3 linked regions of the Caenorhabditis elegans genome follow. The protein of the gene in region 2 interacts with the protein of the main gene of each other region in a pairwise test. Each region holds a gene or a part of one and is shown on either strand. Other genes may lie near its edges. The genes, in order: fbf-2, cpb-1 and fbf-1.

What was found.
Region 1: the proteins of cpb-1 (region 2) and fbf-2 interact in a two-hybrid assay, tested with the Caenorhabditis elegans proteins (2 studies listed by BioGRID).
Region 3: the proteins of cpb-1 (region 2) and fbf-1 interact in binary tests that used the Caenorhabditis elegans proteins (3 or more experiments, as listed by UniProt).

What each region holds. Positions count from the first base shown.
Region 1 is NC_003280.10:6,086,296-6,094,419, reverse strand, and holds fbf-2 (Fem-3 mRNA-binding factor 2), read left to right. Parts: upstream 1-2,939; 5' UTR 2,940-3,047; coding exon 3,048-3,089; intron 3,090-3,137; coding exon 3,138-3,371; intron 3,372-3,419; coding exon 3,420-3,595; intron 3,596-3,647; coding exon 3,648-3,900; intron 3,901-3,943; coding exon 3,944-4,557; intron 4,558-4,608; coding exon 4,609-4,737; intron 4,738-4,783; coding exon 4,784-4,987; intron 4,988-5,031; coding exon 5,032-5,278; 3' UTR 5,279-5,557; downstream 5,558-8,124. Other genes in the region: tpp-2 (Tripeptidyl-peptidase 2), read left to right, coding at 1-215, 262-605, 654-1,540; nspg-3 (DUF19 domain-containing protein), read right to left, coding at 1,665-1,875, 1,924-2,020, 2,064-2,218, 2,338-2,600. UniProt on the Caenorhabditis elegans protein: RNA-binding protein that binds to the consensus sequence 5'-UGUGCCAUA-3' in mRNA 3'-UTRs. Involved in the control of stem cells and sex determination in the C.elegans hermaphrodite germline.
Region 2 is NC_003281.10:9,318,894-9,327,141, forward strand, and holds cpb-1 (Cytoplasmic polyadenylation element-binding protein 1), read left to right. Parts: upstream 1-3,416; 5' UTR 3,417-3,422; coding exon 3,423-3,837; intron 3,838-3,880; coding exon 3,881-4,243; intron 4,244-4,290; coding exon 4,291-4,401; intron 4,402-4,448; coding exon 4,449-4,539; intron 4,540-4,596; coding exon 4,597-4,936; intron 4,937-4,984; coding exon 4,985-5,200; intron 5,201-5,254; coding exon 5,255-5,401; 3' UTR 5,402-6,020; downstream 6,021-8,248. Other genes in the region: C40H1.9 (Fungal lipase-type domain-containing protein), read left to right, coding at 1,147-1,247, 1,552-1,612, 1,660-1,775, 1,825-1,889, 1,937-2,054, 2,093-2,384, 2,431-2,540, 2,584-2,770; C40H1.7 (Fungal lipase-type domain-containing protein), read left to right, coding at 6,185-6,276, 6,323-6,395, 6,439-6,560, 6,813-6,877, 6,925-7,042, 7,087-7,219, 7,472-7,624, 7,673-7,848 and 1 more.
Region 3 is NC_003280.10:6,076,328-6,084,220, reverse strand, and holds fbf-1 (Fem-3 mRNA-binding factor 1), read left to right. Parts: upstream 1-3,377; 5' UTR 3,378-3,500; coding exon 3,501-3,542; intron 3,543-3,588; coding exon 3,589-3,822; intron 3,823-3,870; coding exon 3,871-4,040; intron 4,041-4,092; coding exon 4,093-4,345; intron 4,346-4,388; coding exon 4,389-5,002; intron 5,003-5,050; coding exon 5,051-5,179; intron 5,180-5,224; coding exon 5,225-5,428; intron 5,429-5,472; coding exon 5,473-5,671; 3' UTR 5,672-5,958; downstream 5,959-7,893. Other genes in the region: F21H12.3 (uncharacterized protein), read right to left, coding at 715-1,162, 1,213-1,301; H12I13.6 (uncharacterized protein), read right to left, coding at 5,986-6,137, 6,211-6,286. UniProt on the Caenorhabditis elegans protein: RNA-binding protein that binds to the consensus sequence 5'-UGUGCCAUA-3' in mRNA 3'-UTRs. Involved in the control of stem cells and sex determination in the C.elegans hermaphrodite germline.

The sequences.
Region 1 (8,124 bases), on a different chromosome or scaffold from region 2:
CTTCAACTTGCTGGCCTTACTCCATATTTGTATGAATCTCCTGTGGACTGTGTACTCTTCCAAATTTTCGGAGCAAACAAGTCGTTTGTGGGTGCTTCTTCTTCGTACCCGGATCGTTGGACTCAGAAGCTTGAGAAAGGAGATTATACTATTCAGGCTCAGATTAGATATCCGGATGATCAAGTTTTGCAAGGAATGAAGGAACTTCCTCTGCTGTAAGTAATTCTTTAAATTCTAACTGAAATGATTTTTGTGTTTCAGTGTTCATGTGAAACTTGGAAACAAAATTTCTGTTGACCTCGCAGCTTCTGCCAGCGATGCAACACTTGGAAAAGAGTGCAAATTTGCTGGAAAAGCCCTTCTTCCAAATCAAGAAATGACCGTCTACGCTATGAATATCGCTGATGATAAATTGCCAAAGACTATCGTACCAACAAGTGGAAGTTTCCTTGCTGGAACATTTAGTGCTCTCAAGGATTCTGATTTGAGTGATGTAGACAAATCTGAAGTTATTTACTTTCTCAGTGAGTACTCTACTCGTCCTACGAAAGGATTGTCAATGGTTACAACAAAGAAAGATACGAATCAAAATCAGGAAATGACTGGTAGATAATAATTAAAAATTGTATCTTTTATTAAATTCATATTTACAGACGCCATTCGCGATTTGGAAGTATCATGGGTGCAAAAATTGACAGACGAAAAGGCAGCGAAAGAATTTTTCGAAGCTTGTCTGCAGAAGTATCCAGATCATCTCCCACTACTTCAGAATCGAGTAAAGCAATTGATGCAAGCAAAACTTGTGGATCAAACACCGGAAAACGTGCAGAAGATTATTGAATTATGTGGTCAAATTTTGCAAATCACAAAACCGAATGAAACTCTTCAGTTCTCATCCGTCAAGCAAGAACATGATGATGATCTCCTTACTGTTGACAAATGGCTGGCACTAACCGGAGGCAGTGAGGACCAGCGAAAGGATGTGGTGAAGTTGATTTCACAATTTGAGGAACGGAAGAAAAGTATTATTCTCGCTTTGCAAGCTCTTTCATCATTGGAGCAGGATATTGAAGTTCGTAAGAGCAAGTTCGACGTTCCAGCAAGTCTTCGTTTCGGAGGAATCACTCCTCTAATTTTCGGTGGAAAGCAAGGAGAAGTGATCAATAAGAAGTCTGAAGGTTATGAAGCACTGAAATCAAAATCTGAACAAATTGATGCAACTGTCTCTGAAGAACTGAAAAAGTTGGATAGTAATTGGACTGGAAATCAGTTTTACGTCAAGCTTCTCGTTTGGTTGTCTGCTGATGATACTAAAACTGCACTGATCTCTGCCAAACATGCAGCTGCTCTTGGACAATTTGGAAGATGTGCAAAGCTTCTCAACAAAGCTGGAGATGAACTGAAGTCGTCTGCTACTGATTCGCAAGCTGTTGATACATCATTGGCTGAAGTCTGCGAAAGTCTCGAGTGGAATCATCTTGCTACTCACTTTAAAAATTCGGCTCTGATCAAAAACAGAACCTCCTACCGTCTTTTCTAATTAGTGTATCATAAGAAATTTCGCGGGTTTCTTTTTTCTGGAAGCTTTTTTGCTTCCATTTCCGTTGTGAATCAAATGATTTTCCCATTTGAATAGATAAACTTTTATTGTTTTATAAATGAGATCAAACAAAAATTTTGCAGAGATACATTAAAATTATTAAGAAGAAGAATGTTCGAGGTTGCGACGAATTGATGCATGGCATGTACTCACAGAAGTTCCACCCAGTCATGTGGGTGAGAATCTTCTGATATTGGCAGTATGATTTGACAGCACTATTTCCACATGATTTTCTCACTACTGCTCGCTCACATTGTGTGGTTCGTGATACGGAGCTCAAAATTAAAAACTAATCTCAATAAGTCTGAAACTATTAGACTCACTCGCAACTGCCAACTTCCAAAACGGAACATTCAGTATAAATCGTGTCAGAGAGATCATTCAAACTGATTGCTTGCATACATTCATAATATGCCACAACTGAAATATTTATAAAACAATGAACGAGAATGAAAAACCTCACAATCATTTCCATAATTACAATAGAATTCAAGAAACCCCGTTTGTGAGATGTAATAAGCTGCATTGCTTTCTGAACCAAAAATTGCATTGAAAGTGTTATAGTTGAGACAATCATTGATGACGTCACTATGACAGTGACGTAGAGTTGTATATGTACTGTAATTATTCGTCTTTTTTAAAAATATTTATTCTAGCATGTAAAACCGGTTCTATTGAAATTCTTCAATAATTTTACAATTTAAAAGGTGTTGCAATGTTGTAATACCTTCACATACCTACACATTCCAGTGGCATCGTACCGAATTTTCTTAAATGGATCTTCGTCTGCTGGGGGAAGGCTAGTCACATTTGAACCATATGATTGAAACATATCTATATAACATTGTTGTAGCACTTGATCTTGATCAGAACTGCAGTTATGCAGCACTCCTTCGTTTCCCGCTACGGTTTGCTTCACTAGACCTGCTAAATCAACTTCGAGTGTCTCTAGCGATTTAGTAACGATCGTAACCACAACAACGAGAATATTCCAAATCATCAAATATAGGGAAAGAAAATTTTGTGTTTCGAGCAATTTAAAGTGTTTAGTCTGAAACAGAATAGCTCGTAAAATGTCGTCACCGTCAGTCGACCGGTTTATAGCTTTTCGGGAGGTTGAAATGTGTTTATCAATTTGATATGTTACGGTCCCGGAATTTTCCAAAAATTTTTATTGTTTCTAGTAATCATTAGTAATCAAATTGATAATTATTTTAAATACACTTTTTAATTCTTGAAACATGTGATTAGAATCTCGCATTATTTGAAAATTTCAATTTGGTTACGGTAGACAATGACAAAGTACGCAAACACCAGAGTATGTGACACACTTTCGTCATTTGCGAATTCGATTTTAAATATTATTTTCATATTCCCATTCCTATTTTCTGTGAATTGATAATTTTTCTATGAGTAATCATTCTAATAAAATTATCAACTAATCGACATGGACCAATCAAAGATGCGCAGAACGAATCAGTTCAGAAAAGTAAGTTTTCAGTAACTTCTAAAGAAACAAATGGCCTAAGTTTTACAGACTTCCCAGAAGCCTCCTTCTACAGGGATTGACAGTTATCCGACTCCCGCACAATCACCAATGGCGCAGCATGAGACACCTATGTGGGACTTCAACTCTCTCAACCCGTATTTCTCAATGCTCAATATGAACGATGGGATTAATTATGCTCGCCATCAACAGAATCACATTGTTACATCGCGGCCACCAACCCCGCTAACTGATTTGATGAGCCTTCGGAGTTTTCAGAGCTTTGTAAGTTAGAGTAGGCAATTTTTGGTTGTTTTCATTACTGATTTGCAGCCCAATGTGTTCATGCCGGTCTCGCGTAGCCGAACTTCATCATTCATTCAGTCTGATACGGATTCCTCGCGTCTCGAGTCGGATGATTTTTCACAAAATGTCCGATGTTTCTCTGCGGATATTGATCGTAGCAAGAGCTATGGTTCTTCAAAACACTACCATTTGAAATATTCGAGGTTCGAATTAATTTATCACTATCCTCTAGTATTTATTCTTTTTTATTTATAGACCCGCTCTGTCGAGGAACTCTAGATCATTCACAAGATCAAACAATGTGCTGCCAACCTGGTCCTTGGATTCCAATGGTGAAATGCGTTCAAGATTGTCGCTCTCTGAAGTTTTGGATAGTGGCGATTTAATGAAGTTTGCCGTTGACAAAACTGGGTGCCAGTTCCTAGAAAAGGCAGTGAAGGGCAGCCTGACATCTTATCAGAAGTTCCAATTGTTTGAACAAGTTATTGGGAGAAAAGATGATTTCCTTGTAAGTTTTAGTTTCTGCGAGCACACATGACTTTTCTTTTCAGAAATTGAGCACGAACATCTTTGGAAATTATTTGGTACAAAGCGTTATTGGAATTTCATTGGCAACTAATGATGACGGATACACAAAGCGACAAGAAAAGTTGAAGAACTTCATCAGTTCCCAAATGACAGATATGTGCTTGGACAAATTTGCGTGTCGTGTTATCCAATCCAGTCTCCAGAACATGGATTTATCCCTTGCGTGTAAACTTGTTCAAGCTCTACCTCGTGATGCTCGTCTTATCGCAATCTGTGTTGATCAAAATGCCAATCACGTCATTCAGAAAGTCGTAGCAGTCATCCCACTGAAGAATTGGGAGTTTATTGTGGATTTCGTTGCCACCCCAGAGCACCTCCGTCAGATTTGTTCTGATAAGTATGGGTGCCGTGTTGTGCAAACTATTATCGAAAAGCTCACTGCTGATTCAATGAACGTTGATTTAACTTCCGCTGCTCAAAATCTTCGTGAACGAGCGCTCCAACGACTCATGACTTCTGTGACTAATCGGTGCCAAGAATTAGCTACGAACGAGTATGCCAATTACATAATACAGCATATTGTATCCAATGATGATCTGGCCGTTTATCGGGAATGTATCATAGAGAAATGCCTCATGTGAGTGTTATTGTTTAATATCTACTTGATTTTTAATCATCAATATTTCAGGCGCAACCTTCTTTCGTTGTCCCAGGAAAAGTTTGCTTCTCATGTTGTTGAGAAAGCATTCCTACATGCACCATTGGAACTTCTTGCCGAAATGATGGACGAGATTTTCGACGGATACATTCCACATCCGTAAAAACATTAGTTTCAGTCACATAAAAATGAAATGTTTTTTCAGGGACACGGGAAAAGATGCCCTCGATATCATGATGTTCCATCAATTCGGAAACTACGTCGTTCAATGCATGCTGACTATTTGCTGTGATGCTGTGTCTGGAAGACGGCAAACGAAAGAAGGAGGCTATGACCATGCAATCTCATTCCAGGATTGGCTGAAAAAGTTGCACTCGAGAGTTACGAAAGAAAGGCATCGCTTGTCAAGGTTATCACTATTGTCACAATAATATTTTGAAATTCGAAATTCAGGTTCTCATCCGGCAAAAAGATGATCGAGACGCTTGCCAATCTCCGTTCAACTCATCCGATTTATGAACTCCAATCTTCGGGACACGATTCATTCAAGACGGATTACTTCAGTACTGCTTCCGAGCACGATGGTCCGGAGTTGGAGAAGAATGGGATCGAGGAAGGAAGCCTGATGCTAGAGCCACGGAGCAATAAGTCTTCAGTCTCTGTCAAATTTTCTTCTTCCGGTAGTCACGGCGATGATTAAGGTGGAACTTTCTCACCATAAATCTCATCCCACCCACTTATGTTCTGTTGTTTTGTAATATTTTAAACTGGTGCAATGATTTCGTTTCGATTTTAAGATCGATGTTGTGCCTTCCCCACTCTTATCATTGCCCAGTTTTGTTTTTTCTTTTCTTTTTTGTTATTTTATTGCTTTTTATGCAGTTGTGTTATTGTTTCTTTCTGTTTACTGTTCATTGTTTTTGTTAATTTTTTATTTTCGATTTTAATGAATCCAGATAAAATTAGACAACTTGGCAAAATATCGTTCGAGTCTTTGTCATGCTTCCACCGAGAGCTTCCTGCTTCCATACAATGCCTGCTCAGAAAACAATTTTGAAAGCGAAGAGAAAAGTTGTTCTTTGCTCGGAGAACAAAAAACTGATAACCGACAAATGTTGACTTTGTAAATTTAATCAAATTAGAAACCATGAAGAATAAATATAGTTCAATTATCATATTGAAATTTATCTTACAATTGCATCGATTTCAAAATAATGGGACTCTCAGAAAATAGAAAAACAAAAATTGGATACTGGGGATGAGGAAGAACTCCGCGAACATTGGCGGTCCTTCTCTCATGTGGTCCTCGTATAGGTGGTGGCAATCCTCTCATTGTTATCCAACATCGAGAAAATGTTCTTCGGCTAGAACTCTGAAACAAAAATACTTTCAAATTAAAATTGTCAAGATAAATTCGTACTTCCTGACACAATTTGTGTTGTTGCAGCGTTGAATTCGATTCCAAACCAAGTGGCAAGACCAAGACCCAGCAATGATGATGGAATAGTTGAATTGACAGAATTCCTCGAGCATATCAGCAATGGATGTTGATGCAAGTGGATGCAATGTTCTTCTTTTGTTTCTCATCAACGTTTGCCTTATGATTGTGAAGTGACTTGATGAACTCTCTCTGCCATGCTTAAAGAACTTGTTCAGCAGCAATTTCGTTCCATGCATCAATGTCTAATCCAGCCTTCATAGAGTTTCTTCCAGGCTTCTGCTTGAATCTCAAGAAAACATAGGCGGGGCTTGCAACGAGAAAAACTGATTGAAGAGCATCATCTCCTGATAGTTTTCCTCCCTTCTTGGCACGTCTTGGATCTCCTAGTATCATATCTTCAAGCCAATTAAGAACGTTAGATGCGAAACCAGAACATCCACTGTGTATACATATTCATCACTTCGGACCATTTGTCTTTGTTATCTTTCAACCATTCGAAAACAGACTTCCGGTATTATTTATAATCTGAAACATGACTTTATATTTTAATAGAAAAACGAATTTACTTAAATACAGTCTTTCAATTCTCTGGCTTTTTGCTTTTTCTCTTTTTCTTCTGCAGCTCTGGTTTCCTCCGGTGACAAAGTAGTCGTAGTTGGAATAGGAGCAGTTGTTACTGGAATATTTGCTGGTACTGCATCTTCAACTGCTGGAATCGCATCTACTGGTCTTTATTCTTAATCTTAAATTTTATGGCAAATACTGTTTTACTACTTGATCTTTTACTATGTATCTCTTTTACTACAAGATCTCTTTTACTACGGAATCTCTTTTACTACGAATTCCGCATTTAGATCTTTTACTACAATTGGCTCTTTTACTACGTGATCTCTTTTACTACCATTTGACCACATATATCTTTTACTACGGAAAATACTTTTTTACTACCTCATTTTTTACTACGTGGATCTTTCACTACGGTTTTTTATTCCGATGTTTTGCTACAGTTTGTATCTTTTGCTACGGTAGACATTTTTACTACAATGGCAGGGATTGTACTTTTCACTATGTTTCGTATCTTTTACTACTAATTTTTTACTACGAATTAAAAATTAATGTCTATAGTATTTTATATTCTAGATATAAACAAATGTATGAATTTTTTTTCAAAATACATAGGTCATAATTGTAGATGGAGTTAATGGAGGGAGACTGTTGAGTTACTGTAGTGGTATTGTGGAAATAACAGTTTTCAGATTATATAGTGTTTTTTTTAATTTCTGGAAATTTATTCACTATGAAATGAGCAGAACTTATTATGGCCATTTGGATCTAGAAATTAAAAAAAACACGATATGATCTCTTGCTCTCTTGTAAAACTTTTGTAAAAATTTCAGAAACATTTAAAAAGTCCTCTATAAATGTTTTAAAACTCAGAAGATTTTCTGAAAATGAAAATGTAGGTATCCTATCTCGGTCGTCAATTTATTTGTCATAGTTTTCAACTACAAAGTTGTTGAATATGGTATGATCTACGATTTGTCAGTTGAACATTTTTTTACCAAATTGTTTTTTCGCGGAGATATCGGTACTTGGAGTCAATACGTTTTATGAACTAACTTTTGACAACTTATCTCCGTTTTTTTTTCAAATCTAAAATCGTGATATAAACATTCAAATTGACCGAAAACAATAATAATTTTATACAAGATTCGATAAATTTAGAAAAAAAACATTTCTAAAGTGTTGATCAAAAGTTTCAAAATGTCAGCTGAAGTCAAAATTTTAAACACCTGACAGATAACTGACCGAACCCGCAAGTTTTTTATTACATTATAGACTTATACATATAGACATTATAGACAAAACTTATAGAGCAACGGGTATGGAACTAATTTGTTGGCTATGCGAAAAAAAAAAGAATTACTCCCACAATACCACTACAGTAACCCAACAGTCTCCCTCCATTAACTCCATCTACAATTATGACCTATGTATTTAAAAAAAACTATTCATACATTTGTTTATATCTAGAGTATAAAATATTATAGACATTAATTTTTAATTCGTAGTAAAAAATTAGTAGTAAAAGATACGAAACATAG
Region 2 (8,248 bases):
TTGATACAAATTAGTTTTCTAATTTTTCAGTTCCCATCTTCATTCCATATAATTCACCGATTGGACCTCATTCCTAGAGTTCCAGCAATTGACCCTCATACCAATACAACTGTGATGTTCCACCCAAGAACCGAAGTTTGGTGAGATTGCTTATTGAAAGTTAGAACATTTAATTTCAAACATTTTTCCAGGTACAACAATTACATGAGATTGAATGACACATACCAAATTTGTGAAGAAGCGGATGGAAATAACTGTAGTGATGCAGTTACGGAAGGATTGAATATGAATGATCATGGATTCTATTTCGATATTAATATTGCAAATTGGGGAAAGGATGGGTGTCCAAAAAATACGACTGGATATTCGCAGCCATGAAAAACTATTTACACATCTCTCATATCTTTTTTATTTGAATAAATGAATTATTTTTAACATAATTCTTTATGATTTAATTCTCTAAATGATTTGAAAAATTTCAATTTACCATGATTGCCGTAATTTTTTGTTAGTTTTAGATTTTTGTTTTTTGTTAGTATATTCTTGTTGCATTGCCTAAACCAAGTTTTGCCCAACTTTTGCGAACTTTTGGAAAAAGTCGATATTCTTTGGGTCCACCGGAAAATGTTCAACTTGATCAACTTCTTCCATACTTCATTTTTTCTGTTTTTTTTTCAAAACATGAATCATCGAGATTATCAATTTATGGAGGAAACAGTGTGCAAATAGTGGCACCAAAAAAACGAGATGTAATCAAAAATAACTTGTTTTTCAGGTCACTCTTATCGCTTTTTGAAATAAAGTATCGGAAAATAATTACATTTGTTGATATAAAATCTTCTTTAGACTGAACCTGAAATTTGAACAAATATTTCTAAAAAAAAGCTGGTAAAAGTAAAAGTAATTATTTGTTGAAAAGATTTCAGTAAACCTAAAGTTTAGTGTTCTAGTCAACCAACAGGTCTGTTTGAATAGATGAGTACATACACACAACGTGGTATTCATATAAAACTTGTTTTTCTTCATTCTTATCACTTTCTCATTGACCATTAGTCTTGAAGAGTTGATCGAAAAGAAGAGCCGTCCTGGTATCATTTTATCATTTATTGTACTCATCATTGTTGAATTTTCTCCAAACGATCAAAAATGATAGTTTTATTTCTGCTTTTTCTTATTTCGCTCGGAATTTATCCATTTACATCAAGTTCTTCGTTAGACTGCTCAAATTGTGTTGGATCAGGTCAAGTGTGAGTTGCTTTGAAGGTGTAGTATGTTCAGTTGGGGTTCAGTACAAATACTTTTATCATGGTACAGGCGAATCTTCAAAGTTAAGAATTTCAGATGTTTCAAAATTTTCAATTTAGGTTGTGGTAAATTGTCAAATTTTTCAACAATGTAGAGCGTCCGAGCTGAGTTCCACAAAATAATTTTTCAATAGTGAATAAAATTTTGATTGGGCTTTAGGGCTGCAAGACTAATTTTTGAATGGCCTATAGCTGACAAAATCTTGATTTGATGTCATTAAATCAATATTTTCTATTAAACTTTCAGATGGTGTGTTGAACAGTCTCAGTGCAATTCAAGCTTCGTATCTTGCAGTACAAAAATCTCGGTGAGACCTGATACTCATATATAGATGAACTTATTCAACAATTCCAGCTCCAACTAAATTGCCCCACAAAACCGAAAGTTCCATATGATGAACATTTTGCACGTACTCAAATGTTGGCTCTAGCCTCGGCTTCCCATAATGCCAATCCTCAGCTGTGTCTTGAGTAAAAATATGAGCAAGCTTCAAATAATTTCAGTATAAAATAATTCCAGCAACCAAATTCCTACAATGAAGCTTTACAAAGTTCGAACTGTGAATTGTTCAACAGACTACCCTGGTATGATTCAATATAGTAATATTTATCAATTTTTTTTTGTATAACAGATGTGGCATGTTATGGATATACTGCTTATGATGTCACTCAAAAAGCTATTGTCATATCTTATAGAGGATCTCATGGACCGAACCAGAACAATCAAATACTGGAAGGAATGACTCGAGAGTATGTTTTGATTCTTTTTTTTATTATATTGGTTTCAGTGGTCTTCATTCATACTTTGGCAAAGGTACAGGTAAAATCTTCAAAGTGATCTACGATTCTTTCATGCTCCTTTGGAACGACAGGATTAATCAAGATTTACGATATTTGAAGTACAAGTACCCTGACTTTGAGTTATGGTTAAATGGGCATTCACTTGGAGGAGCCCTTTCATATACTACAGCTTCATATTTAACAACAGTTGGACTATACAAACCAGAAAATATGAAAATCATTGTTCTTGCTCCTACGAAAATAGGAGACTACGATTTTGCAGCGTGGTATTCGTCCACAGTGAGTCTAAAATTTCAAGTTTCATGAACATTTGATAATTTTCCAGTTTTCATATTCATTCCATATAATTCACCGATTGGATCTTATTCCTAGAGTTCCAGCAATTGACCCTCATACCAATACAACTGTCATGTTTCAACCAAGAACTGAAATTTGGTAAGTCATAGTACTTGAAAGTTTCGATTTGAATACTCTTTAGGTACAATAACTACATGAGATTGAATGACACATATCAAATTTGTGAAGAAGCCGATGGAGACTACTGTAGTGATGCAGTTACAGAAGGATTGAATATGAATGATCATGGATTCTATTTCGATATTAATATTTCAAATTGGGGAAAGGATGGGTGTCCAAAAAATACGACTGGATATGCTCAACCTTGATAACCTTTCAATTTTTAATTTTGAGAAAGAATGAATATTTTGAATCTAAAATTTTTTAAACCGAACATTGTTCTGTCAAATTTATTAGAACTTCTTCATGAATTCCTCGAAACGAAAATAAAATTCTTTCACGCAAAAATTAACACGTGAAATACGTGGAAAGTAGGCCATGGGGTCAGTGTCAAGTTTTGCCACGCACACTGTTCAGTGTTCTCAAAATTTCTTTAACCATGCTAAAATACTTTTTTCCACAAGTTCGCTTTTTTAAATTTTTATTCAGAGAATAATTTTTTCGTATACGAATTTGTGAGAACATTGCGGTTCTTGTCATAATATTTGCATATAAGAATGTTCAAAATTTAAAGAAACTTTCAGTTTTTTATATTTTTGTGATTATAAACGCGATTTTATGTGTTATCTGTGATTTTAAATTTGGCCAAATGTGTGCAAACAGATTTATTATAGTCCTTTTCGAAAGCTTTGCTTTCTATTGCAGAAAAAAAGCGAAAATCTGAGAAATGCAAATGCGCTCTGCTGCACTGCAAAAAAAAAGATTTTTAAAGAGCAATTTTTCATCGCTTTTTTGTCTCAATCTTCTAAATTATTGTCTATTTTAAATAATTGAATAACTTTTAAAACTATTTTCAGAGAGATGCAGTATCAGCTGAGTCCAAGTGGGGATTTCAAGACATCTGCTCCAGTTCGATCGTCTCATGGCCATCGCCGTTCAACCGAGTCAAAAAAATCGGGAGGACATGGAAATCCATATTTGTCTACAGACAAAACGAATCTGGATATCAGTGTATCATTTTTGACTTCGCAGGCCCAGAAGAAAATGAGAGGAATGTCGGCGAATCATGGAATTTTCGACCCCACTGAGATGCTGACTGCAGATGATCCCTCGAATTATGGATACCAATTCTTGAACCACGCCACATTTTACAATAACATGGATATAATGCAAGCAGCGTCTGGAGATGTTCCTCCGTTAATGAGTGTCAATCCTTACAAACAATCATTTGACATCAATGATGCTTCCGCGGCAATGAACATGGCTCAATTTGCTCGTTTGTTATACTCATGTTTTCATACCTATTGTTGAATTTTCAGATACGTTGAATGCAATTCAAAACAGTTCCTATTCAATGTCTCATTATAACCAAGCACCTATGCAGCATTTCATTTCGCCCAACAGTTTTCATGTATCGTACAACCAGCGGTTCCCACATATTAAAAAGAATGCAACGCACGCGAATCGTATGGTAGAAATAAAGAAGATCAACGGACACCGTTACATGGAAGTGACCGATCCCCAAGCCGTATCTGCTCCACCAGAATACAAACGCCTTGATGGGTCACTAATGGGCGTATCAAAAAGTTGTTTGGAGGCCTCGAAAAAACGTCCGATTTCAGCTGAACCGCTATACTCCCGCAAGGTTTTTATTGGCGGTCTTCCAATCGACGTCTCAGAAGGTATTTTGTGTCATAAATTATTATTCTAATTTTCTGAAAGTTTCTAGAGCAAGTTTGGGCCACGTTCGGAGCTTTCGGGAAGGTGCTGATTGATTGGCCTCGTCGCCCGGAGCACAATGCAGAACGAGCTGAACAGGAATTGAAAAAAGGAAGCGGTTGTATGTTATATTCGTACACATCATCAACAAAGATAAACTATTTACAGCACGCGCTGTAACGGGATATGTTTTTCTCGTTTTCACTCACGAGCGGTCTGTCCAGGAGCTAGTCAATGCATGCGAGTTTTATGAAGATAAGTTAGTGAAAGATTGAATTTTCATAATAATAATAATAATAATATTGCTATTTTTAAGATACTACCTTCAGTTGTCTTCTCCAACGATGACCGACAAAGCAGTCCAAGTCCGGCCTTGGCGTCTTTCCGACATTGACTACTTCTGTAATGACAACTCTTCGGTCGATCATCGTCGCACTGTCTTCATTGGTGGCGTTCCTCGTCCGACCCGTGCTCAAGATCTTGCACGTTGTCTTGAAGGTCACTATGGAAAAGTGTCGTATGTGGGAATTGATATTGATCCAGAGTTGAAATACCCAAAAGGAGCTGCCCGAGTCACTTTCTCAACTTCTCAAGCATTTGTTCGCGCCATATCGGGTCGTTTCGTGCAGGTCAATCATGCCGAAAATAACAAACGAGTGAGTCGAGATTAGAACTAATTGAGTTTTTTAACTTCACAATTTTAGGTTGAAATCAAGCCGTATGTGATGGAAGAACAATACTGTGATGAGTGTGAAGGAAGATTGTGCAAGCATAACTATGCTCCATACTTCTGTGGACATGCTTCCTGTCTTCAATATTACTGTGAAGGTTGTTGGGATCGCATGCATATTGGAAAGAATGAAGATAACAAGCTCGAAGATCAGCATTATCCAATGGTGCGCACTGGAGATCAAACAAGAGTCAGTTCTAATAAAATAATATCTTTATTGTATTCAGAAGTATTTTATTTTCAGCTTCTCAAGCATCTTCCACATCGCTCCTCTGGTTTTAAGCCTGCTCCAGTTTTCCATCCATCTAGCCAATCTACTACGGCAAAAATCTTAGCGTATGGAGATCAGTCACAGAGACAGTTTTCTGCCACTCCCTCCTATAGTTTCTGAGACTCTTATCTCACTAAAAAGTATTCCACCGTTTTATCCGCACCCTACCACCCCCTTTCATATTTTTAAAGTTTTGCCTTAATATTCCGAGAATTCTGCTCAATTTTGAAACTCTTCCTTTTCAAAAAGAAGTACCATATTTTCGTGTGAATCTCTCCGTGCAACTCTACCATTCCCCTAGATTCCATTGTAAACTTCAAGTAATCATGTTAAATTTTCATTATGTAATATTCTCTTCATGTTTTATTTCTCGTCTCTTGACATTTCCCCCAACATGTTTCTATATTATTATCAATCCCTGGTACCCTATATCTTGTGTATTTATGTACATCCCATTCTTAGCCTATCCGAATTGGCAGAATTTTGTAATTTCCTTTAGAATTTTTTATTTATTGCCCGTATCCCACAAAGTTCATACTCGATCAGAGATATAGCTTAGATAGTTTGAATTGTAGCTATCATTCAGATTAATTATATTATTTATTGTCACCCCGTGATATTTAGTCCCCCATATTTAACCCGTTTTTAATTTTCCCGGTTTTAAAATTGCTCCGAACATTGGCTTTATAATTTTTTTGTGACGGAAGAAATTTCCAAATAAAGTTCTTTCACCAACAAAGAAATGTTCTAGAAGCAAAAATCATTGCCGCATCTTTTGCGAATTTTAAAGTGCACGTACTGATAACCCCACCTCCTCCCATCAATTTCCGTGAATCGAAACTTTGATTAAGTCCACGCCTTATCGAATGGCTCATTTCACCTCGAGGTAAAACTCTTTGAAAGATGACAGCATCCCCTGCAGCTTACCTTTTGCTTCATTTATTTCTGAGACTTACAGCTAAGACTTGTTGGCAGTGTTTACAGGATGGAGGACAGTTAGTTTCAAATGATGTTTGCGAGGTTTTGATTGAAGATTTTCAGATTTTGTTTAGATAATAATCAATGCATAGTTGATGTGTTAACAATTGAGACAAAATGTAATAGGATAGTTGATGTAAGTCTGTGGGCCCAATAAAAGTAATAAGAAACAATTTTAGCTTCCAATAAATTGTCCATCTGTACCAGCACTACAGTATGCTTATGACGACGATTTTGTCAGAAATACAGTTTTACCTGTTATAGCTGCAACCGGGACAGATAATCCACAAAAATGTCTTGAGTGAGTTTAGGAAAATAGTTTATTGCCAAGAAGCAAAACAAATTTCTAAGAAAATACGGTACCCGGTCTCGAAGCGATCGCTTTTTTTTAAATTCAAAGGAGCGTGCGCCGTTAAGGTGTACTGTAGTTGCTAACTTTTCGTTGTTGGGTAATTTGAATCGATTGTTTATATTTTTCGATAAAAATATATTTAAAAAAATAAAATACTGAAATAAAAACTAATAAGACAATGTTCAAAATAAGAATTTTCAGCAACCAACTTCCTTCTATGAAAGTCTATAAACGGCGTGAGGCAAACTGCTCCTCACTTTTCTCAGGTAAATCCAAATTTTTCTCGGAATTCAATCATACTGCTTCGTTTTAGATGTAACTTGTTCTGGATACACTGGAATTGATTTCGACCGAAAAGTAATCGTTCTCTCGGTTCGTGGATCACACGGTGATCATCAATATTATGATTTGTGGAAAATCGGAAATTTTAAGTTGGTTTTAACATATTTTACTCTTAAAATCAGATTAATTTCAGTGGAACAGTCCCATTTCTAAATATTGGAAGAGTTACGAAGAAGTTTAATGACAACTTTGAATCATTATGGTATAGTGGATTGGGTGAAGATTTGCAAAATTTGATTGATGCCTATCCGGATTATCAGTTATGGGTGGGTAAAGGGTTTGAAAATTATTAAGTATGGATGTATAGTTTAAGACAGTACAATAAACACGACAACATGAATATTGCGGGAAGTCAAGGTTTGAGTTGTGTGACGTCACACGAAGTACGGTTCTTGTTATTAATTTAAACCTTAACTTTTAAAATGTTGGGAAGTGAAGTTTCAGTATCACGAATTCTTAAAAACATTTCGTTTCATTTTCAACACCTGAAGTGAATCCCCTCAACCCCAGAATTTCAGATAACTGGGTACTCGATGGGTGCATCAATTGCATTACTTACATCTGCATTCATTGCTCAAACTGGAATGAGCTCTCCTTACAATATGAAAGTAATTTTATTTGGATGTCCTAGATGTACAGATTATGATTTTGCAATGTGGCATAGTACCAACGTAACGAGATAAATAGAGAACGTCTAAGTTTAAAAGTTCATATTTCAGTTTCCATATTCTTACCACATTATCCACGCACATGACTATGCACCACGTCTCCCTTTCTTTGATAATATTGATAACACAACACTTTATCACCCACGAAGTGAAGTTTGGTACAACAATGATATGCGTGAAGGCGACTCTTTTGTCATTTGCGAGCAAGCAGATCAACCGTTTTGCAGGTTTTCGCAACATTTCTTATCAGCAACTATCAACAAAAATGTTTGATTTTTTCAGCAGTCAGGTGCAGAACCTGTCAAATGCCGACCATGCACATTATTTTAATATGGACTTGTACAGATGGTCAGCTGATGGATGTCCGAAGAATAAGGAAGATTACAGGCCAATTGCAGAGAGTGCGGTTAAAAATGGGAAGACGTTCAGTTATGATCTTTTGATTGTGATATTGGGTGCTGTAATAATATTTTTATAAAAAGCATAATATGTACACCAAGTATTTGTCAATAAAAATATATTCTTATTATTACATCGGAACTTTTAAAAAGTTTGCATTTTCAGGAAAAATGTACTACAAATTTGGAAAATACAATAAATGGGGGACAGAGATATAGATAAATAAAT
Region 3 (7,893 bases), on a different chromosome or scaffold from region 2:
CACCACCAAAATGGGAATTGAGCAAGAATAATACCGAAAACTTCATCCCAACTGCTGAGCCACTTGCATATTCGCAGATTCCATTCTACTTAACTGGCCTCACGGATACTGCTGTGATTGTCGATGCCATAAAGGACATCCGAAGTGTTTGTGAACGATTTACCGATCAAGGACTTCCAAATTTCCCACAAGGAATCGCATTCACATTCTGGGAACAATATCTTTTCTTGACTGGAAATCTTATGCAAGCCATTTCGATCATTACCATCTCTGTCTTCTGTGTCATTTCCGTTCTTCTTTTTAATCCATGGGCTGCACTTATGGTTGTTTGTATTCTCGGAATCATGACTTGCGAACTTGCCGGATTCATGGGACTCGTTGGAATTAAGCTCAATCCGGTTTCAGCCGTAACTTTGATCACCGCAGTTGGAATTGGAGTCGAATTCACTGTTCATGTGGTTGTCTCATTCCTGACGGCGCTCGGAACAAGATCTCAACGAACGTCATCTGCAGTTGATCGAGTTTTTGTTCCAGTAATTCATGGATCATTCTCCACACTTCTCGGTATTTTGATGCTTGGATTCTCAGTTTGAGTGAGTTTTACAGAAGTATGGATGTCATCAGAATTTTATTTTTCAGATTTGTTGTCAAATATTTCTCTATTGTCATGACGGCTCTGATTTGCATTGGAACGGACTAATTCTTCTCCCAGTTTTATAATCTTGTTTTGTTCCAAGAAGAGAGATAAAATGTTTTGTTCCAAGAAGAGAGATAAAATAGAGATTCCGTAGTAAAATATCCAATTGTAGTAAAAGATCTAGATGTGGAATTCTTAGTAAAAGAGATTCCGTAGTAAAAGAGATCCTGTAGTAAAAGAGATGCGTTGTAAAAGATCAAGTAGTAAAACAGTATTTGCCCAAAGTCTGACCAGCGAATCATATCATCAACTGACAGCGCACTCAACGACGTCCCAAGTGATCGGAGTGAGGATTTTGGGAGAGATGGATGCGGCTCAAAAGCTTTCGATCCATCGCAAAAATAATCTATTGGAGTAATCCAAATGCATATCATATCGATGACGTCACCAAGCGAGGAAGCGGCAGAATCGGCTGCGACAGATGGTGGAGCTGGTTTGAAGCAGATGTCGGATAGAGACCAGTCCCTAAAATGATCAATTGTTACAAGAAAAATATATTGGTAGTCTTCACTTACACTCCATGAACTGAAACGTTGAAACTAGCGATGTGCTTCATAATCTCGGCGTGTTTTAGAAGAGCGAAGAGGTCCTGCAGCAAGTGCATCTTGTCCCACACGTTTTTTTTATTTTCCAATAATCCACATTAATTGTAATCAATGTTGCAATCTGAAAAGTGAAAATCAGCTAAATCAGAAAAAAGGAAACAACTTACGTTGAGAGTTTAAATATATAAAAACCAGCCGTTCGCACGCGCTGAAGCGCGTGCTCCGACTGGCGTACTCAAAATTAAAATCAAATTCTGAAATTTCTGAGCCTTTCTTTGCAGATGAAACGTTTTTCCCTGTTTTCCGGAAGTTCTCGAGCAACATAAATATCTACAAACTATGGAACAAACGGCCTTCATTCCGAGATGACAAACTTTTTGGTGGCAAAGGTTCTTTGGGGGCATAGTATCCAAGGAGACAAAGTATCCAGTAGACAAACTGGGGTGTATCTTGGGGGGCATATCTTTGGTGACAACCTTTTTTTCAACTAGATTTTTATATGTATTTTTCAACTAATTTTTGTTCACATTTTTCTGGAATAAGTTTTTTAATGCAATTTTCAATCGATTATCGGTTATAATTCCCTCACAATTAAATGTATGAACGATGGTCTTTTGGGAAAAGCTGTAAAAGGTCCAACTAACTTGGAATATCGTGAGGCTCTTCCTGATGGTCTGATCCTTCAGCTCCGAGGGATCACATAGGTACCTTCTGATGTTCTGATCCTTCAGAAAAGAAGGATCGTAAGGGTACCTCCTGATGGTCTGATCCTTCAGCTCCAAAGGATCACGAGGCTCTTCCTGATGTTCTGATCCTTCAGCTCCGAAGGATCACATGGGTACCTTCTGATGTTCTGATCCTTCAGATAAGAAGGATCGTAAGGGTACCTCCTGATGGTCTGATCCTTCAGCTCCAAAGGATCACGAGGCTCTTCCTGATGTTCTGATCCTTCAGCTCCGAAGGATCCGACGTCATCATCTCGAAGAATCTTACGATATTCCAAGTTAGTTGGACGTTTTACAGCATTTTCCCAAAAGATCATTGTTCATGCATTCAATTGTGAGTAGTCAAGGCCGAAAATCCATGGAAAATTGCATTTAAAAACTTATTCCAGTAAAATATGAACAAAAAATGGTCAAGAAATATATATAAAAAAACTAGTTGAAAAAGTTTGTCACCGAAGATACGCCCGGTCAGAGACAAATGGCACTTTGTCGACTGGATACCATGTCACTTTGGATACTTTGTCCCCAAAAATACCTTGCCACCCTAAAAGTTTGTCCCCTCGGAATGAGGGCCAGTTACCAGTGGCCATAATCGTGTGATTATTATTTGGGATGTTCGAAGTGTTTGCTCCGCCCTTTCTGGATCACAATAGACAATTGCTTCTTCTACTTCTTGAATGTCTCATAATTCTTCTTATTTTTATCTAATTTATTGCTTCTCCTTTCTATTTTGTATATTAACTCCCAAAAACGCCCATTCTTCCCCAAAACCATCTAAAACTTACCAATATTTCCCGATACCCCTGACAGGTTATCCTGAATAATGATTGTGATTCTCAAATTTCTTCTAATCCCGTTAATTCCCCAAATATTCGAATGTAACTTTTTTTGGAATTTTTTTGTTTTCTAGTTTATAAATAAACAATATGTTTGAAAAACAATCGTAATTTGCGTTTTAGATGGTTAAACGGTAGGAAGCTTAAGCTTCCTACAACATCCAAATACAATGCAATATTTTCTGAAATTCTAAATATCAAAACATCATCCGGAATATGGAGATTTAATGCAACTCTATAGAGGTTTATGGGGACTTAGTCTTCTGGAAATTGAATTATGTGATTATGAATTAATTTTAAAAAAACCAATCCCAATCATACGATCGTCGACGACGATCGTCCCTCGCGTCTCGCGAGAGCCAACTGGTTATAGCTTTTCGGGAGGTTTAAATGTTTTATCAATTTTATACGGTACGGTCTGGAATATTCCACAATTTTTTATCTGTTTTAACAGAGAATATCTCTCCATGGAGATGCTAAAATTTTGAGAGATAAATAAGCAAATCGCATTGTTTGAAAATTTCAATTTGGATACGGTAGACAATGACAAAGTACGCAAACACCAGAGTATGTGACACACTTTCGTCATTCTCAAATTCAATTTGAAATATTATTTTCTTATTCCTATTCTCTATTTTCTGTGAATTGATAGTTTTTCTATAAGTAACCATTCGAATAAAATTATCAACTAATCGACATGGACCAATCAAAAATGCGCTATACAAATCAGTTCAGAAAAGTTGGTTTTCAGCCATTAATATTGATAAATGGCCTAAATTTTACAGACTCCGCAAAAGCCCACATCTACAGAGGTTGGAAATCATCATACTCCCGCACATTCGCCGATGGCGCAGCATGAGACATCAATGTGGAACTTCAACTCTCTCAACCCGTATTTCTCAATGCTCAATATGAACGATGGGATGAATTATGCTCGCCATCAACAGAATCACATTGTTACATCGCGGCCACCAACCCCGCTAACTGATTTGATGAGCCTCCGGAGTTTTCAGAGCTTTGTAAGTTAGAGTAGCTAATTTTTGGTTGTTTTCATTACTGATTTGCAGCCCAATGTGTTCATGCCGGTCTCGCGTAGCCGAACTTCATCATTCATTCAGTCTGATACGGATTCCTCGCGTCTCGAGCCGGACGATTTTTCACAAAATGTCCGATATTGCTCTACCGAGATTGATCGTAACAATAGTTCTTCGAAAAATGACCATTTGAAATATTCGAGGTTCGAATTAATTTATCACTATCCTCAAGTGTTTATTCTGTTTTATTTATAGACCCGCTCTATCGAGGAACTCTAGATCATTCACAAGATCAAACAATGTGCTGCCAACCTGGTCCTTGGATTCCAATGGTGAAATGCGTTCAAGATTGTCGCTCTCTGAAGTTTTGGATAGTGGCGATTTGATGAAGTTTGCCGTTGACAAAACTGGGTGCCAGTTCCTCGAAAAGGCCGTGAAGGGCAGCCTGACATCTTATCAGAAGTTCCAATTGTTTGAACAAGTTATTGGGAGAAAAGATGATTTCCTTGTAAGTTTTAGTTTCTGCGAGCACACACGACTTTTCTTTTCAGAAATTGAGCACGAACATCTTTGGAAATTATTTCGTACAAGAAATCATTGGAATGTCATTGACAACTTATGATGACGACAACATAAAGCGACAAGAAAAGTTGAAGAACTTCATCAGTTCCCAAATGACAGATATGTGCTTGGACAAATTTGCGTGTCGTGTTATCCAATCCAGTCTCCAGAACATGGATTTATCCCTTGCGTGTAAACTTGTTCAAGCTCTACCTCGTGATGCTCGTCTTATCGCAATCTGTGTTGATCAAAATGCCAATCACGTCATTCAGAAAGTCGTAGCTGTCATCCCACTGAAGAATTGGGAGTTTATCGTGGATTTTGTTGCAACCCCAGAGCACCTCCGTCAGATTTGTTTTGATAAGTATGGGTGCCGTGTTGTGCAAACTATAATCGAAAAACTCACTGCTGATTCAATAAACGTTGATTTAACTTCCGCTGCTCAACATCTTCGTGAACGAGCACTCCAACGCCTCATGACTTCTGTGACTAATCGGTGCCAAGAATTAGCTACGAACGAGTATGCCAATTACATAATACAGCATATTGTATCCAATGATGATCTGGCCGTATATCGGGAATGTATCATAGAGAAATGCCTCATGTGAGTGTTGTTTAATATATATTTGATTTTTAATCATTAATATTTCAGGCGCAATCTTCTTTCGTTATCCCAGGAAAAGTTTGCGTCTCATGTTGTAGAGAAAGCATTCCTACATGCACCAATGGAACTTCTTGCTGAAATGATGGACGAGATTTTCGACGGATACATGCCACACCCGTAAAAATTTCGTTTCAGTCACATAAAAATTAAATTGTTTTTCAGGGGCACTGGAAAAGATGCTCTCGATATCATGATGTTCCATCAATTCGGAAACTACGTCGTTCAATGCATGCTGACTATTTGCTGTGATGCTGTGTCTGGAAGACGACAAACGAAAGAAGGGAGCTATGACCATGCAAACTCATTCCAAGTTTGGCTCAAAAAGTTGCACTCGAGAGTTACGAAAGAAAGGCATCGCTTGTCAAGGTTATCACTATTGTCACAATAATATTTTGAAATTCGAATTTCAGGTTCTCATCCGGCAAAAAGATGATCGAGACGCTTGCCCATCTCCGTTCAACTCATCCGATTTATGGACTCCAATCTTCGGGACATGAATCATTCAAGACGGATTGCTTCAGTACTGCTTCCGAACACGATGGTCTAGAGTTGGAGAAGAATGGAATCGAGGAAGGTAACCTGAGGCTCATGCGAACTTTCTCACCATAAATCTCATCCCACCCACTTATGTTCTGTTGTTTTGTAATATTTTAAACTGTTGCAATGGTTTCGTTTCGATTTTAAGATCGATGTTGTGCCATCCCCACCCTTATCATTGCCCAGTTTTGTTTTTTCTTTTCTTTTTTGTTGTTTTATTGCTTTTCATGCAGTTGTGTTATTGTTTCTTTCTGTTTATTGTTCATTGTTTTGTTTTTTTTTTTCGAATTTAATGAATCCAGATAAATTTGGACACGAAAACTCTAAAAATTAAATAAAATTATTTCAACACTAAAATAATTCATTACGCAAAAACAACAAACAAATTATTCGAAGATTTCCTCTCGTTGACGCCAGGTAGAGTTGGCGTCGTCGTTCTCCATGTAAACCATTGATGTTGGAATTGTGGGGCGAGCCTCCACGCCTGGCGGTGGTCTTCTCGGTGCGAACATCATCGACCCACCAATCTCCTCTTCGACTGAAAACACAGAGTATTTAAAATAAAATGAGAATGAAAGGTAAGTTCCTCCCAATTACTTCAGTAAACTCGCCTTTTTTAGCCTTAAATTTTCCGCAGTTCACCAATACGGCAGCAGTGAGAATAACAGAACAGACGAGAAACAGCATCTGTAAATAAATTTGATTTCAATCTCTACTCTTCAGCACTTATACTATAAGTGTTGTACTTCTATGAGTTTCATTGGATAAGTGTCTATTCGGAATAGTCTCGCTGCACTTTATTCTCTACAGTAATCTTACATTAGAGTATACGCGAGAAATGGAGAGTGCTGCGAGAACTAGAATGAATATGCCTCCCTTGAAACGTATAGAAAGATTGGAAAAAGAGGAATTGGATTTAAAAAAAAGAAAAAAAAAAGTAATCGGGATTGTTAAAACCTTTGATATCATACAAAACGATTTCCTCATGCACTTTTCACGTGGAAAATCAGGAGTAAGCAACGTGTCCCCTTATTTGTTGACGTCTGAAGCCGTGGCAATAGGTAGGAATAGGACTCAAATATTTTTTAAAATCTAACAACACAGATTTTTACGCAGTACATAAAAAATGAATGAAGGACGTTCTTCAAGTGTTTTGAAACATTCCAAGTTTTAGTGGATTTAAAAGTTAAAAACCAGTAAAGTTAGTAGTGTTCGGTATAATATGACAATTAGTAGTCAAATGGATGCAAAATATTTCAGAGTCAGTTTTAGAATAAAGCAATCCATAAATATTCGAAACCACATTCAGTTCTTGAAATTACAATTTGCATGTTCTGTACCATTCCGAGTTTTAGTGGATTTAAAAGTTAAAAACCACTAAAGTTAGTAGTGTTCGGTATAATATGACAATTAGTAGTCATATGGATGCAAAATATTTCAGAGTCAGTTTTAGAATAAAGCAATCCATAAATATTCGAAACCACATTCAGTTCTTGAAATTACAATTTGCATGTTCTGTACCATTCCGAGTTTTAGTGGATTTAAAAGTTAAAAACCACTAAAGTTAGTAGTGTTCGGTATAATATGACAATTAGTAGTCAAATGGATGCAAAATATTTCAGAGTCAGTTTTAGAATAAAGCAATCCATAAATATTCGAAACCACATTCAGTTCTTGAAATTACAATTTGCATGTTCTGTACCATTCCGAGTTTTAGTGGATTTAAAAGTTAAAAACCACTAAAGTTAGTAGTGTTCGGTATAATATGACAATTAGTAGTCATATGGATGCAAAATATTTCAGAGTCAGTTTTAGAATAAAGCAATCCATAAATATTCGAAACCACATTCAGTTCTTGAAATTACAATTTGCATGTTCTGTACCATTCCGAGTTTTAGTGGATTTAAAAGTTAAAAACCACTAAAGTTAGTAGTGTTCGGTATAATATGACAATTAGTAGTCAAATGGATGCAAAATATTTCAGAGTCAGTTTTAGAATAAAGCAATCCATAAATATTCGAAACCACATTCAGTTCTTGAAATTACAATTTGCATAATCTGTACCATTCCGAGTTTTAGTGGATTTAAAAGTTAAAAACCACTAAAGTTAGTAGTGTTCGGTATAATATGACAATTAATAGTCAAATGGATGCAAAATATTTCAGAGTCAGTTTTAGAATAAAGCAATCCATAAATATTCGAAACCACATTCAGTTCTTGAAATTACAATTTGCATGTTCTGTACCATTCCGAGTTTTAGTGGATTTAAAAGTTAAAAACCACTAAAGTTAGTA